Linked DNA regions of Elephas maximus indicus. The protein of the gene in region 1 interacts with the protein of each later gene in a pairwise test. Links are inferred from orthologs where the notes say so. Each region holds a gene or a part of one and is shown on either strand. Other genes may lie near its edges.

Region 1 (7,814 bases):
GAGAGAAAGCGAGAGAGATGTAACACCAAAGACGAAGAGAAGCTGTGGCAGAGAAATGGTGGCAGCAGAGGCAGGAGACCAGCAGGAGATGGTGTGGTAGGCCTTCTGGCCCATGAAGTGAGAAAGCTGAGCACCTTCGGGCAGGAGGCTTGCTGGTGGTGTAGGGTGCCTCTGGGCACTTGGTGGAGCTAAGTTTCCTGACCCACAAAGGTAGAACTGAGCATCTTTGGGCTGAGGCTTGCTGATGGAGGAGGGTGCCTCCAGACACTTACTGGCAGAGCTAAAAGAGCTTTGTAACACTTGCCTGAGCAGGGTAGAGGCCAGGCCGAGGGGCTGAGGGCCAAAGAGAGGCCTCCCTGCAAGCAAGGCTGAGAAGAGGCTGTCCTGGTTGAAGAACTGTATCCTGAGCTTTCCTGAACCTGAATTGAAACCTGTTACTTCCCTAATAAACCCCATAACTCAAGTATGGTCTATGAGTTCTGTGTAGCCACTGCAACAAGTTGAACCCAGCAGAGAAGGAGAGAGTGCCGTGGGAGGGATGGATAGTGTTGGAACTGGTAAAGATGGTGGAAAGAGGAGGTACGTCTGACCTCTATCTCACAGCAATCAGCCTTGGGCTTTGTCGATCTTGATTCTCCTTCCCCCTTGTAAAGTTGCATGAGGAGGTCAGATGCTGCCCCCACATCATCATTTTTACAGGGTTCAACCTCCAACCACGACATTAATATCTGCCTTACCTATCTCAAGGGGCTATAGATTAAAGTGATGAGATAATGTATCTGAATGTTTTGTGTTATGCAGCTGGATGTTATCTGGGCCACTAACAAACTGGGTCTGAACAGACATCTAGGGCATGGGCATGCCCCATCTTGACCTACAAAGTCTGGAATGAGGACAGACTTTGGGAACCAGGTGTGAGTGAGTGCATGGCATTCTTTTGCTCTTCAGTCATAGGCTTCCATTCCCAAGAAGGATCCAAAGGTCAAAAAGTACATTTAGAAGAGTCCCAATATAATAACACAACTAGTGGTAATGGAGTATCTTAGTCTTCTAGTGCTGCTATAACAAATACCACAAGTAGAGGCTTCAACAAAGAGAAATTTATTCTCTCACAGTCTAGTAGGCCACAAGTCATCTCCAGGGGAAGGCTTACTCTCTCAGTTCTGGAGGAAGGTCCTTGTCGTCACTCTTCCCCTGGACTAAGAGCATCTCTGTGCAGGAACTCCAGGTCCAAAGGACGTACTCTGATCCTGGCACTGCTTTCTTGGTGGTATGAGATCCCCCACTCTCTGCTGGCTTCTCTCTTTTATATCTCAAAAGAGATTGACTTAGGACATTATCTAATCTTGTAGATCTCATCAATGTAACTGCTGCTAATCCATCTCATTAACATCATAGTGATAGGATTCACAACACATAGGGAAATCACATCAGATGACAAAACAGTAAACAATCATACAATACTGGGAATCATGACCTAGCCAAGCTGATAGATATTTTGGGGGGACACAATTCAATCCATGACACCAAGTCAGGTCAATTCTACATCTTTAGCTCTTTTATCAGCTTCTTTCTCTTCATGTTGCCACTGCCTGGTTTCACTATGATCTCTTTCCCATAACTGAAAAAGCCTCCTTACAGATCTTCTATGCCTTACTATTTCCACCCTGTTATGCAAGTCTTCATGATGTTACTCTTGAGATTAAAACCCTCTAGTGTCTTCCCTACTACCCAAGGTAAAATATAAATGCCTTAATTTGGGTACCCACCTGTTATGCCAAGGAGCCCTGGTGGCACAACAGTTAAGCACTTGACTGCTAACTGAAAGGTTGGTGGTTTGAACCCACCCAGCTGCTTCAAGGGAGAAAGACCTGGTGATCTGCTTACGTAAACATTAGAAGGTGCCTTGATGGCATAGTGGTTAAACCCTTTCAAAATTTTTTTCTTTAGAAAATTTTTTTCCTTAAAAAATTTTTTTGATACTATGTGCTTTCAATAATAGAAGGCATGCTGAATTAAGGAGTCGTTCAAAAAAAATTTTTTTTTCTGAATTTTTGTTATGAAATTTTGAGATTTATCATTTGGAGAAATATCATATGGGAATGCATTTTCCCACAAAATGCTGGCGATAGTCTGGTGCCTGTTTACTGAGCTCTGTCTGTCCCAAGGATCTCTGGAGGCAGGATTTTGGGTGATGCCTTCCGTTTGGCTACATTGGGCATCTCTGGTTTTCCAAAAATGACCAAAAAAAGAAAAGCCAACCCACCAGGGTTCCGACACAGGAAACCATAAATATACTTACAAGGCTTACTTAGCTGTACAAAAGCCAGAAGAGACATAAGTTTGATCCAATCGCACTTCCTGGAAGCACTGCCTCATACATAAGCCTCTTTACCTTAGTGAATTTTTCCCAAAGAACATTTTTTCATGTTTCACCATTACACAAGCCCCCCACTGGAGGGCAGCAAATACTTTTAGTGGGAAAAGTAGTCTCCCAAGAAACCTGAGAGCCCAAAAATGTTAGCGGACAGCTTCTGTGCCAAGATTCAAATGAAGGGTTAAAGCACTCAGCTGCTAACCCAAAGGTTGGTGGTTTGAACCCACCAACTACTCCATGGGAGAAAGATGTGGCAGTCTGCTTCTGTAAAGATTTATAGCCTTGGAAATCCTATGGGGCAGTTCCACTCTGCCCTATAGGATCCCACCGCATCCCCATTCAGCTTACCTATTTGGCCTGTGCAAAAAACAGGTGGATCTTGGAGAATGACAGTGGATTATCATAAACTTAACCAGGTGGTGACTCCAACTGCAGCTGCTGTTCCAGATGTGGTTTCATTGCTTGGGCACATTAATACATCTCCTGGTACCTGGTTTGCAGCTACTGATCTGGCCTATGCCTTTTCCCTTGGAAACTGTATGGGGCAGTTCTACTCTGTCCTATAGGGTCACTACGAGTTGGAATCAACTTGACGGCACTGGGTCTGGGGTATGCCTTTTTCTTGATTCTGGTTTTGAAGGAAGGCCAGAAGCAGTTTGCCTTCAGGTGGCAAGGCCAGCAATACACCTTCACTGTCTACTTCAGAGGTATATCAACTCTCCAGCCCTATGTCATAATTTAGTCCACAGGGACTTTGATCACCTTTTCCTTCCACAAGATACCACATTGGTCCATTACATCAGTGACATTATGCTGATTGGACCTAGTAAGGAAGCTGGTTAGTTGGTCCTACTTTCGCTAGACAAAGTGGTGTCTGTTATGCCTTCTTTCCCTCCGATTCTCCCATTTGTAATGGAAATATCTAGCTTGGGCCTGTTCTACCATTGTACTTTGGAAGCAGATAACCTGTTTTCTAGATTTCACAGATGAAGAGGAATTCTTTGGATTTTGGACTTGGAATTGATTTAAGGCTTTTGCTGATATGATGGGGTGAATACGTTTTACACATGGCAAGGACATGAATTTTGGGGGGCCAAAGGGTGGAACGTCATGGATTGAATTGTGTCCCCCAAAAATATGTGTACCAACTTGGCTAGGCCATGAGTCTCAGTATTGTGTGATTGTTCACCATTTTGTCATCTGTTATGATTTTCCTATGCATTGTAAACCTATCTCTATGATATTAATGAGATGGGATTAGTGGCAGTTACGTTACTGAGGCAGGACTCAATCTGCAAGACTAGATTCTGTCTTAAGCCAACCTCTTTTGGGATACAAAAGAGAGAAGCAAGCAGAGAGACATAGGGACCTCATACCACCAAGAAAGCAGCACTGGGAGCACAGCATGTCCTTTGGAAATGGGGCTCATGGGCTGAGAAAATCCTAGACCAGGGAAGATTGATGACAGTGACCTTCCTCCAGAGCAGACAGAGAGCTAAAGCCTTCCCCTGGAGCTTACACCCCGAATTTGGACTACTAGACTGTGAAAAAATAAACCTCTGTTTGTTAAAGCCATCTACTTGTGGTATTTCTGTTATTGCAGCCATGGATAACTAATACAGGCGCGTTACTTAACCTCTCTGTGCTCCGTGCTCCCATTATCTGTAAAATAATGCTAATAATACCCCCTAAGCTGAATTACTGTACAGACTAAATAACAAAACTTTTGTGAGGCTCCTGGTGTATAGCTGGCACTCAGGATAGAAATCATGGCTATAGAGTGCCCTCTATAAGCATAGTTGAATTAACTCAAAACTTATGAAAAGTGCTAGCAATTATTACGCTATATGTAGTGGTTAAGTGCTACCGCTGGTAACCAAAAGGTCAGCAGTTCGAATCCACCAGACGCTCCTTGAAAACTCTATGGGGCAGTCTTACTCTGTTCTATAGGGTCGCTATGAGTTGGAATTGACTCCACTGCAATGGGTTTGTTTTTTTGGTTTTCTTATGCCTACTAGGTGCCAAGCACTGTGTTAGACAGGGTTGCAGTTATCATGGTCTAAAAGGGAGTCTAACGGTTGCATTTTAGAGACATAGGTGCTGGTCCCCCAAAGAGTGGGGGTGTCGCCCATCTTTGTGCTTCGTAAGAACGCTGCGCAATGCTGCCCCCAGTCGCTTGCTGATCGAAGCCCAAGGACAAACTCAAGCACCCCGACCTCACCAAACAAATCAACATCACGCCTGAGTCCTCTTCTCTGCTTCCTCCATTCTTCCCAAGCCATGTCCTCAGGTCATACAGCCCCTAGGTTTTCCACAGGCGGCTCCCACCCACCGCCTGGAGTGGCCACGCCCACCTCGCACATGCTGGGGGCGGAGCCTGCGGCGGGGTGCTGTCGTCACTTCCTGAGGACCCGGCAGTGACGTTTGGGCCGGCCGCGGTAGTTAGGAAGTCCTGATGGAGCCGCGTTTGGTGTAAACCTTGGCCGACCGGGACCGCGGGGGCTGGCCGGGGCTGCAGGGATCCGGGCGAGCGGGGCGCGCGGCGCGGCTTTGTGGGCCTGGGCGGGCGAGCCCCGGCGGTGCGCTCCTCTCGTGCCGGCGTCGCTCCGCCTCCGGGACAGGACCCGGCCCGCCCTCTGGGCCCGGGACCAGGCGGGACCTCCTGCCAGGGTGTCCCGCCGCGCCTCATCCGGTCCGGGACTGCCGGGAGCAGCAGGTGTGCGGCCCGACAACTCTCTCCCCGACGCTTGCAGTCCGTGCCACGTCTTCGCGGGCTGCCGGAACGCTGACGTGGAGCTGCCAGTCCCGCACCCCTATGGAGAAGTTTGGGATGAATTTCGGGGGCGGCCCGAGCAAGAAGGACCTGCTGGAGACCATAGACACACAGAAGAAGCAGCTCCTGCAGTACCAGGCACGGCTCAAGGATGTGGTCCGCGCCTATAAAAGCCTACTGAAGGAGAAAGAGGCGCTGGAGGCCAGCATCAAGGTACTGTCGGTGTCCCACGAGGCGGATGTGGGCCTCGCAGGTGTCCAGCCCTCAGGTCTCACTTTTCCTGACTCCATTGATGACCGGTGCTCCACTCACAGCGGGGATAGCACGGGGACCGCCACCAGCTTGGATACTGCAGCCAGTCTCACCAGCACCAAGGGTGAGTTTGGGGTAGAAGATGAGAGACCGGCCCGTGGCCCACTACCTCTGAAGTCCGAAGAAGCCAGCGGTTCGGAGAGTGGCATTAGCAGCAGTAGTGGGGACGGTCCGTCGGGGGGCGTGGAGGCAGACAAACGACTGCACCAAATGAAGACTCAGTTGGCCACTTTGACCAGCTCTTTGGCTACAGTCACCCAGGAGAAGTCCCGTATGGAGGCTTCTTACCTGGCTGACAAGAAGAAGATGAAACAGGACTTAGAGGATGCCAGTAAGAAGGCAGAGGAGGAGAGGGGCCGTCTGGAGGGGGAATTGAAGGGGCTGCAGGAGCAAATAGCGGAAACCAAAGCTCGACTTATCACGCAGCAGCACGATCGGGCCCAAGAGCAGAGTGACCATGCCTTGATGCTGCGTGAGCTCCAGAAGCTGCTGCAGGAGGAGAGGACCCAGCGCCAGGACCTGGAGCTCCGTCTGGAGGAGACCCGAGAAGCCCTGGCAGGGCGGGCATATGCCATTGGTCAGATGGAAGGGTTTGAACTGCAGACCAAGCAGCTAACCAGGGAGGTAGAGGAGCTGAAGGGTGAGCTGCAGGCTCTTCGAAATGAGAAGAATCGGCCTGACCCCCGGCTGCAGGACCTTCAGGAAGAGGCCGCTGGCCTCAAGAGTCATTTCCAGGCTCAGTTGCAACAGGAAATAAGGAAGGTAATTATTCTCATTTCCTTCAAGCATTAGTCCTTTAATCTGAAGTGGGAAACATGAAGGCTTTTCCTCCTTTGGGAGTTAGCACTAAGTGGTCGCACTGGCATTTCTGATGCTACTGGAAAAGTCCCACTAGTGAGTCCTGGGAATTCCTGCTCTACACGGTGTTGACAGTCTCCACAGAGTGTGTGCCCAACAGGAAGTGGAGTTTCTGCGTGTAGGCTGGGTAGGAGCCAGACAGCTCCGAGTTCTGGGCATTGACATCTTCCCAGCCGGGCTCTACGAAGCGGTGTAGTCCCAGCTGCACAAGGAAGGGTGATGTGTGGGGCTGTGTTTGTAGGGAGATGAAGGGGGCGATGGGGATTTTCTCAGAAGAAACAATCTCTTGTAGTTGCTTTCAGTCAGAATTTGTATCCTTTCAGTGTGGAGAGAAATCTAACTCCGTTTTGAATTTCGAGGAATATCAGAAGAAAAAAAAAAACCGTATGATTTCTTAATAGGATTTGGGGAGGCATGTAATAAACAAGAGTAAAGCTTTATATGTGAGCTAGGTGTATGGTATGAGAAAGCAGAAGCACTAAAGCAGAACAGTAAGAAAATACACTAAGGTCTGGTGTAATATGTTTCTGGGAGCAGAACCCAAGCAGGTTACAGGAACTGTTGTTAGCACCTAAATCCACACAAAAACCCCCAGTTCCCATTCTTCCCAGGCCATCCTAGTCATGTGACACTTTTGCTCACCCTCTCGCTTTCTCAAAATTTGCCCTAGGGCATTGTGTGGCTTTCCTGGCTGCATTTCTGTCTGTTGCCTTGTTTTCCAGACAGCCCTTGCTGAGGAACAACTCCGACAGCAATCTCAGGTGGAAGAGCAGAGGGTGGCAGCCCTAGAGAACCAGATATCCGAGGTGTCTGAACTGCTGGGCATCTACGAGAAGGCCAAGCAGAAGGACCAGCTGGCTATCCAGAAGCTGAAGGAGCGTATTCTGCAGCTGGACCTGGAGAATAAGACACTGGCTCTCGCAGCCTCCAGCCGGTCCCCTCTGGACAGCCATGGTGAGGAGTCCAGTCTGGATGTTAATGTCCTGAAGGACAAGATGGAGAAGCTGAAGAGACTGTTGCAGGTTGCAGCCAGAAAAAGCCAGGTGGCCCTGGATGTGGAGAAGCTCTGCGACCCAGAGATAATGCCCACCTCGGAGGCTACTGATGGGGAGAAAGCCACTGCGCTGTACTACCAACAGGAGCTGAAACAGCTGAAGGAGGAGTTTGAGAGGTACAAGATGAGGGCCCAGGTTGTCCTCAAGAGCAAGAGCACCAAAGACAGCAATGTGTCAAAGGAGCTGGAGGAAGCCCAGGAGCAGCTGGCAGAGCTGAAGGAGAAGTACATCTCCCTGCGGCTGTCCTGCGAGGAGCTCGAGCGCCAGCACCAGCAGGAGGCTGAGGACTGGAAGCAGGAGCTGACCCGGCTGCAGCAGCTGCACCGGCAGGAGCTGGAGCGCAGTCAGCTGGACTTCAGGGACCGCACGCTGAAGCTGGAGGAGGAGCTGCACAAGCAGCGTGACCGGGCCCTGGCCGTGCTGGCTGAGAAAGACCTGG
Region 2 (7,574 bases), on another chromosome or scaffold:
AGAGCAGGGCCAAGAGGAGCAGGTCCTCCTTGTTTGTCCTACTTGGGATTCACTGGGCTTCTTGCATCTGTGTCTTGATGTCTTTCATCAATTCTAGAAAATTGTCCACCATTGTCTTCAACATAATGACCCTCTGCCATTTTCTTTCTCTCCACCTTCTAGAATGTCAGTAAACTTATGTTAGACCTTCCATCGCTCTTTTATTTTTTTTTTATGAAGCATTCTGGGTGTCTTTGACTTTTCTTCCAATCCACTAATTCTCTCTTCAGCTATGTCTACTCTCCTGTTATAAACTTGTCCACTCCATTTTTTGTTTTTTTGGCTTATTTCTACTAGAAAACATATATATATATATATATATTAGTTAGTTTTAAATAGTAACTTCAGTTGCATTTTTCATTTCTAGAAGTCCTACTTAATTCTTTATTTCCTCAGTCAGATTTTATGTTTTCTTGCTCAAGATTTTATAATTTCTTGGTTTCTCTAGATATAAAGAACATAACTGTTTTATAATCTGTGTCTGATGACGCCAATATTTGGAGACTTTGCAGGTCTGTTTCTGCTGTCATTCCCTAATAGTTTCTTGTTTCCTCATGTGTTTGGTTATTTTTGACAGTGTGTTATTCAACTTTATGAAAAAGCAAAATGCTTTCCTCCAAGTAGGTTTTGCCTTTGCTTCTCTCAGGTACAAGGGAATTCCCATTCTGGGACCTATTTTGACTAAATTTCCGTGGCCAACTCATATTGCCCAGCCTCTAATCCCAATCCCCAGGCTCAACTCACACCCCATTTTGCCCATCTTACTTTTTAGAGTTTTGTGACTCCACCATCTGAAGCTTCTGGAAGATTTCAGGAGGTAGAAAAGGAGAGAGCTTGCCCCCTTCATCTGAGTACACCCGGCGGTGTCGACTGGTTGGTGAGGGTACTGCAGCAGTCATAGGCTTGGCTGGCTTCAGGCATGGTTTCCCTGTAAGCCATACATGGCCACGGGTCAGTAGGATGGCCCCACATTCCATAAAAAGACACAGACTTGGGTGTACTCAGGAAACCTCCCTCTGTTGGAGACCCACCCAGCTTGGCAGCAGTTGATTGGGCCCTCTCCAAACACTGTTCAGCCAACTTCAGCATCTTCGAGGTGTCTAGGGGCACTGTTTCCCCGGCTTCTGGGGGAACAGGAGAAAAAAAGGCCAGTTACCTTCAGCTGGACTGCTAATCAGATTCTTGCTGAAGTGAAAACAAGGTATGGGAAAGCTGGGTTTACCTCTTGATTTTGAGGCAGATTCCAGGCTTGGCCAGCCCAGCATCTGATTAACTTTCTTTCCCTCACTGGAAAGGGGACCTTTGGAGTTCTCTACCTAAACAAGGCCTTTCTTTATTCCTCACTGAGGGCTTTTCCTGTACTCTACCCCTCTGTGTGAGATAGGCCATGCAGCTGCTATGTCATTTCACAAATAAGGACGTGCTGAGAGAAAAACCTCATTTCTCGGCACCCTATCACTCGCCTGTGTTTGTACACAGATCTGGCTTCCTGCCTGCTGCTCAAAGTGTTTCATGGTCTTTTCCTCACATCAGAATGACTCCAATGCCAACCCAAGGTACCCAGAGCTCTGCACAACCTGCCCAACCCTAACTTCACCTTCTCCCTCTCCACTGGCCTTCCACAAACACACCACCCACTCCTACCTCAGGGTCTTTGCACATCCCTCTGCTGGGAATGCCTTCTCCAGACCCTGGCATGGGTCACTCCATCCATCAGTGGGTTCAATGTCATCTCCTCAGGAGTGCTTCTGTGGCCTTTCCCATCACACCCCACCCCAGCTCTCCATCCTCTTGCCTGCAGCACCTGTCCGTTCTGGCCCCTGCATCATGCTATTGCAGCTGGTGCTTGCTGAGTGCTATTGGTCCACTTTCTGCTAATGATCATGCTGGCAGGAGATGTCCAGGCCTGAGACTCTCTGAGGGCTATGTTCCCATGATTAGCCCAGCATGGGGAGGACCTGCGACGTTCAGAGCCATACCTTTGGTCATTTCTGCTTCTTCCAACAGAACCTGGGAGATGTAGTGAATGCTCCTCAGATATTCTGTATATGCCTCCTGTGCCCAGGGAAAAGAAATGGCAGGGATCAGGGCTACGGAGGTGAATGAGTCCATCGCACTTGCCTGGTGCCCCTCCAGGAAAATGCAGTGCCTGGACCCACAGAAACAGCAGTGCCTGCTTATCATGAGATACACCAGAGACATCTAGTCTGCTGTAGTTGGCTGGTAATTGTGCAGTAGTCTAATGATAGTATCCTGGCTCTCTAAGACTTGAAGGAAAAGATGTCAGCACCTGCAAACAACGCCAAAGCACATCTTCCTACAAGATCTGCAGTAGGCACTGGGTGCCGAGACCAGCTGGACACCAGTCCTCCTTTCACTGCGCTTCTTTCTGGCAGAGTAGGGCTGGGAGCAGCCTCAGCAGTTGCTCTCACTTTTTACGCTCTATAATTTTTCTTCCTGTGTCATGACTCAGGAGCCATTCATTCAGTGGCTTTAAATAAGTATTTCCTGTGATGTTAAAGAGGTATGATATTGCAAATCTTAGAATTACTTCCTGCCTTAGGTTTTGGAAAATCCCTCTCCTGATCCTCAGGGTGAGTACCCCTCAGCACACAGCAGTCAGAGGACTAGTGCTGAACACTCTCTGCTGCTCAGGACATTAAGAACCATGGCATGATGGTTTTTTGTCCTTTTTTTGGCATCCCAGTTATCAAGCCACCCGTCTTAAGTCTACTCAGAGGTAAGACCAGGGCAGATTGTGGACAGGGTTTTTGACTTGTGGGGGCACCTGGTGTCCCAGAAAAAATGTGGGAGAAGCAGCAGATTCAGAAACTAGGATGTTTTTCTTAGGCACGCACAGCCTCTTCCCTACCCTGGGCAGTCTGGTGTGGCCCAGGCGGTTTTTCTACCTGGTCCCCACCTTGAGAGTCAGCTCCCAATCTCAGGAACAAGCCACCCTTTCCACCCCCTGCATTTCCTTCCAGACAGGCCCTGAACAGCCAAAGCAGCACTATTGGGCTGACAGTTAATATTTTCTGGATTCGGTCCCCTTTGGGAATCTGATTAAATCTACAAAAAAGGAAGAAAGGATGCACACACAAAAAACTCTGGGGGTTAGTTCACAGACATTTCTGAATCCCCTCTACAATATCATCTCAGCTCTGATTCCCCGACTCATTGAACAGGCGAGAACACTGAGGCCCGGAGAGGGCAGTGAGCTGTCCAAGGTCGCAGAGCAGGGCAAGACCTCAGCACCGCCGGGTCCAGCCTTCTTACCCCAAGGTGGGCGTGGGCGCCCCCAAGTGCCGAAGCTCGGGCAGGGCCGAGAGCAACCTCGCCGCCTGGCCGGCTCTGCCCTCGCCCACCCGGCTTGCAGCAGGTTGGGGTCCCTCCCGGCCGTCGCCGCGACCGCCTCCCGCCCCCGCCCGGGGGGCTAACCTCCGCCGGACCCCGCCTCCCCTTGTCTCACCCGGGGTCGGTTGCCAGTGTCCAGCTCGATGGCCCCGTTAGCCAGCTTCATAGCGCTCTGCAGCGGCTTCACCGCGCCATCCCCGGCCGCAGCGGCCATGGTGCGGGGCGGGGGAGGCAGTGGTGGCGGTCAAGGGGCGGGGCGGGCGGTCGGGAGCCCGGAACTCTGCCTGCGCGGGCAGTGGAACGCCGGAGCGACGGACCGCCGGACGGGGCGGTCCCTGCTGGAAGCACTTCCGTCGTCCTGCTCCGCCGCAGGAGCAAGACTCCCGCGGCAGAATGAGCCAAGGCGAGAGTGGCGGAACCATGGCCTGGTAATCCGAGGCCAGGCCCTGCTAGGGTCCAGGAGCGGACTCTGGACCACGGGCCTCGGCTTGCAGGCCGGGTCTCCCCATCTGGGAAAGCGGATTAGCGATGACAACGTCTTCACGTAGCTGCCCTGAGCGCCGAGCCCTCGCTCCACGTCCAGGACCCCTCTAACTCCGAACAGTCCCGCTAGTTGCGCTTTATGATTTTGGTACTTTTCTGTATGTGTATGTACTTAAATAAAAAATTGCAAAAAAGAAGAAAAAATCAAAGGAAACTTCAAGCAACATGGCTAAGTATTCTGAAAAGCCCTCCAATGCCGAAAGGCACCGTGCTGGCGGACCGAGCAGGGCCTACCACCTCCGTGCGTAACTCTTGGGGCCCAGCGTCTGCCCGTCAGCGCCTCGTTTCCCTTCCACAAAGAGGTATAGCGGGTCTGCTGTCCCTCACGGGCCTGCCACGAGGTTTAAATGAGTCGCCGTACGTCAAGGGCTCAGCCCACTGCCTAGCCCGAGGCCGGCGCTCTCTAGGCGTCAGCGCTGGGCACTATTCCTCTCGCGGATGGAGCGGGAAGCGAGCCTGTGGACGTCACCGGGACGCTTTCAGGGCGGTACAGCCTCAGAGATTTGGACCGCGGCCCGCACGGGCCCCGCCCCCGCCGCCCCCTGCCCCCTGCCTTTAGCCCTGCCCCCGCCACGCCCCGCCCTCCATCCCGCCCCACCACGTCCCCGCCCCCTGCCATCAAGCCGAGTGAGGCCGAGCTGGGCCGAGTGGAGCCAAGCTGAGCCGAACTTAGCCGAGTGGGGCCGAGCAGAGCCGAGCGGGCTCGAGCGGAGGCGAGTCTGACTGTGCTGGCGGGCCGAGCGGGGCCGAGCGGAGCCGAGGGGTACTGAGCGAGCGGGCCGAGGCGAGGCCGCGCGCCGTGCGCGGTGCGCGCAGCGGGCCGGGCCGGGTCTAGGTGGGGTCGCCGCCATGAAGCGGGACCGGCTCGGTCGCTTCCTGTCGTCCGGGGCGGCCCGACAGCGCGGGGGCCCGGGCGGTGGCGCCTGTGGAGGCGGCCGGGCTCGGGGCCGCCCCGCCCGCAGCTGTGGGCTGAGCCCGGATGGGACGGCGGCGGCGGCGCCGGAGGACGGCGCTGAGGAGGCAGGTATGTGGGCCTGACTTGGGCCGGGGGCCGGGGGCGCGGGCCGGGTCTCTCCTGGAGGAGGGGCGAAGAGGCGGCCGAGCGGTCCGGGATGGGGGGGCGGCCCGGCACGTCAGGACCAGCGCTCGGGGCGGGGTGGACTGGCCGGGGGACGCCGGGCTCGCCGCGCTGTGACCTTGAGGTGGCCACTCACCCTCTCTGAGCCTCAGCCCTTCTCCTCAAGCCGACCGAGGGGTCGCGAGGACCAGGGAGTTACTGCTCGGTGGGCCGGGTGGGCTCTGCGTCACCCTTCTGGGCGGAAGGGGAGCCCAGGTGCCAGCACTATCACTTCGAGTTCCCCGGGCGGGGGAAGTGGGCCAGGGTGAGGGGGCATGGTGTGCGAGGCGACGGGGTGAAGGTCGACGGGGCTGGGGGGCCGGGTTGAGGGGCGCTTGTGTGAGGGGGGCCTAGGCGAGACGGGCCGTAGTCGGAGCTGTGGAGATATTTAGGATATTTTGAAAGTTTTTTTTTGGACTGGAAGTTCCTCTAAAAAGCTTTGTCTCGGCCTAAATGTTGAGCTGGGAGCCCAGCACTTTCCTCCGCTTAGGTTAGTGGTCTTTGGCTTAGGGCGCTTTTTCCCAGATGCCCAAGCTGAGCAGAGCAGCTGAGTTCAGGAGCTGGCCTCCCGCTGACCATTCATGTCCCCCGCTGCTTTGCCCAGGACCAGGCCGGGCGCTCGCCATGGGGCACTGCCGCCTTTGCCACGGGAAGTTCTCCTCAAGGAGTCTCCGCAGCATCTCCAGCAGGGGGTCTGGGGAAAGTGTGGGGAGAACGCCCCCTGGGGAGCGCATTTTCATCAGGGATTTCCAGCGCCTTCTGGGGGTGCCCGTTCTCCAGGATCCAGCCCTGTCATCCTTCGTCTGCAAGAACTGCCATGCCCAGTTCTACCAGTGCCACAGCCTCCTCGGTTCCTTCCTGCAGAGGGTCAACGTCTCCCCAACTGGCCGCCGGAAGCCTTGTCCAAAGTAGGCACTCACTGGCCAGGCAGTGTCCTCCAGGCACCTCAGGTGCTGTTCTGGGGGCAGGTGTGGGAGCAGGCCTGGCTGGGAACCTCTGCGGAGGGCATATGGTGTGAGCACCACTATACAAGCGTGGGGAGTGAGGTTCAAGCAGGGCTATGAGACGGGGAGGGCAGGGTGGTTCAGGGAGAGTGGATAGTATCTGAAGGACAGCAGGACATTCAAGACCTTGGGGACAGCCATGAAAGTAGGACAGAGCTTTGAGCTGCTAGGTGTGCTCCTCCTGCTCATGGCCACACAATCCTTTGCAGGGCCGGGACTCAGTCCCAGACTGCTGCAGAGGAGGGCACGTGTCCGGGTGAGTGTCCGGGTACACGGGCAGCCGGGGTGGCAGGTGCTGGCCAGGGCTGACTCTGTCGACTCTCTTCAGCGGACCTGGTCACATGGAGCCCCCGGTGCCTGCAGGCCCTGGTTGGGTGGGTGCACGGGCACGCAGCTGGCTGCGGGGCCCTGCCCAGCCTGCAAAGGATGCTTTCTTCTGAGTACTGCGGCGTCATCCAAGCTGTGTGGGGCTGCGGCCAGGGCCACGACTACGTCATGGACACAGACTCCGGCTGTGGGGCCCTTGTGCTGGACAGCACGCTGGCGGTCAAGTGGGAGTGGGACAAGGAGACAGCCCCGCACCTCACCCCCAGTCAGGGGCCCAACCCTGCTGGGGCTGGCCCCCAGCACTCCCAGGGCAGAGGGACCATAACTGAGGCCGAGACAGAGGCACTGCCCAGCATGGATGCGGCTCAGCCTCCCTTGGATGGCAGTCCTGTGGGGTCTGGGCAGAGCCCCCCGCCCCAGCCAAGTTCACCCCCCAGTGGGGTTCCAGGTAAGAGCCTGTGCTAGATCCAGGTTCCCTCGTCCTTAGCGGGGGGGGGTTCTGGGTCGCTGCAGAGGAGATAAGCGGAGATGGTGGGGGAGTTGGCTCAGCCCCTTGGAGGAGCTTTCAGCTGCATACTAGACTGAGGAAGTCAGGGCTGCCAGCTGGTTAGGGCTGTGGGCCCTTCATGGGAAGCCTGTCTGAGCAGTTTCTGTAAAGACACGTGTCTCAGATCTCCAGTCTTTCTCTAGCCTCACACCCTGGGCAGAGGGTACTGGCTGTTCCCGTGGGCTGAGAGGCCTGAGGGAAGAGAATAATGGAGCCCTTGTCCATGGGGTTCGGGGGAAGGGTGGGCTGCTGCTGCTGAGGCTGATGTTTTGGGCCAGCTGCAGGTCACTCCCTGGACCTCAGCCAGCCGTTCTGAGGACACTCCAGTGGGACCAGTGTGGACAAGGGAGAACACAGGCCCCTTATTTGGGGCCCAGATCCCATGATGGCTGCCTGGGGACACTGGTGTTAGGAGGCTAGGGGTCAGTCTTCGAGCCTGCTGCTCTCGATCCTCATAGGTGGCACTTTAAAAAAGTGCAGCTTGGCATGGGTCGAAGGGCCTTGGGACAGGGTTGGCCAGGGGGTCACTGTTGCTTCATGAGCATCTTAGTACCACTTGAATTTTTAAACTATGTGCACGTAATACTTTGATAAAAATGGTTCTTTAACTACTTGAGAACACCCACAGCATATAGCTAACTCC

The links. The genes of interacting proteins can lie anywhere in the genome.
Region 2: the proteins of GCC1 (region 1) and ZNF276 interact in binary tests that used the Homo sapiens proteins (3 or more experiments, as listed by UniProt). The two-hybrid records come from large-scale screens. The link is inferred for Elephas maximus indicus from reciprocal best matches to the Homo sapiens genes GCC1 and ZNF276.

Annotation. Positions count from the first base shown.
Region 1 is NC_064826.1:22,309,505-22,317,318, forward strand, and holds the start of GCC1 (GRIP and coiled-coil domain-containing protein 1), read left to right. Parts: upstream 1-4,812; 5' UTR 4,813-5,192; coding exon 5,193-6,224; intron 6,225-7,042; coding exon 7,043-7,814. UniProt on the Homo sapiens protein: Probably involved in maintaining Golgi structure.
Region 2 is NC_064839.1:54,863,782-54,871,355, forward strand, and holds the start of ZNF276 (zinc finger protein 276), read left to right. Parts: upstream 1-4,571; 5' UTR 4,572-4,785; coding exon 4,786-4,960; intron 4,961-5,563; coding exon of another isoform or gene 5,564-5,657; coding exon 5,658-5,961; intron 5,962-6,266; coding exon 6,267-6,313; intron 6,314-6,385; coding exon 6,386-6,832; intron 6,833-7,574. Other genes in the region: VPS9D1 (VPS9 domain-containing protein 1), read right to left, coding at 805-967, 1,071-1,163, 2,019-2,094, 3,509-3,607. UniProt on the Homo sapiens protein: May be involved in transcriptional regulation.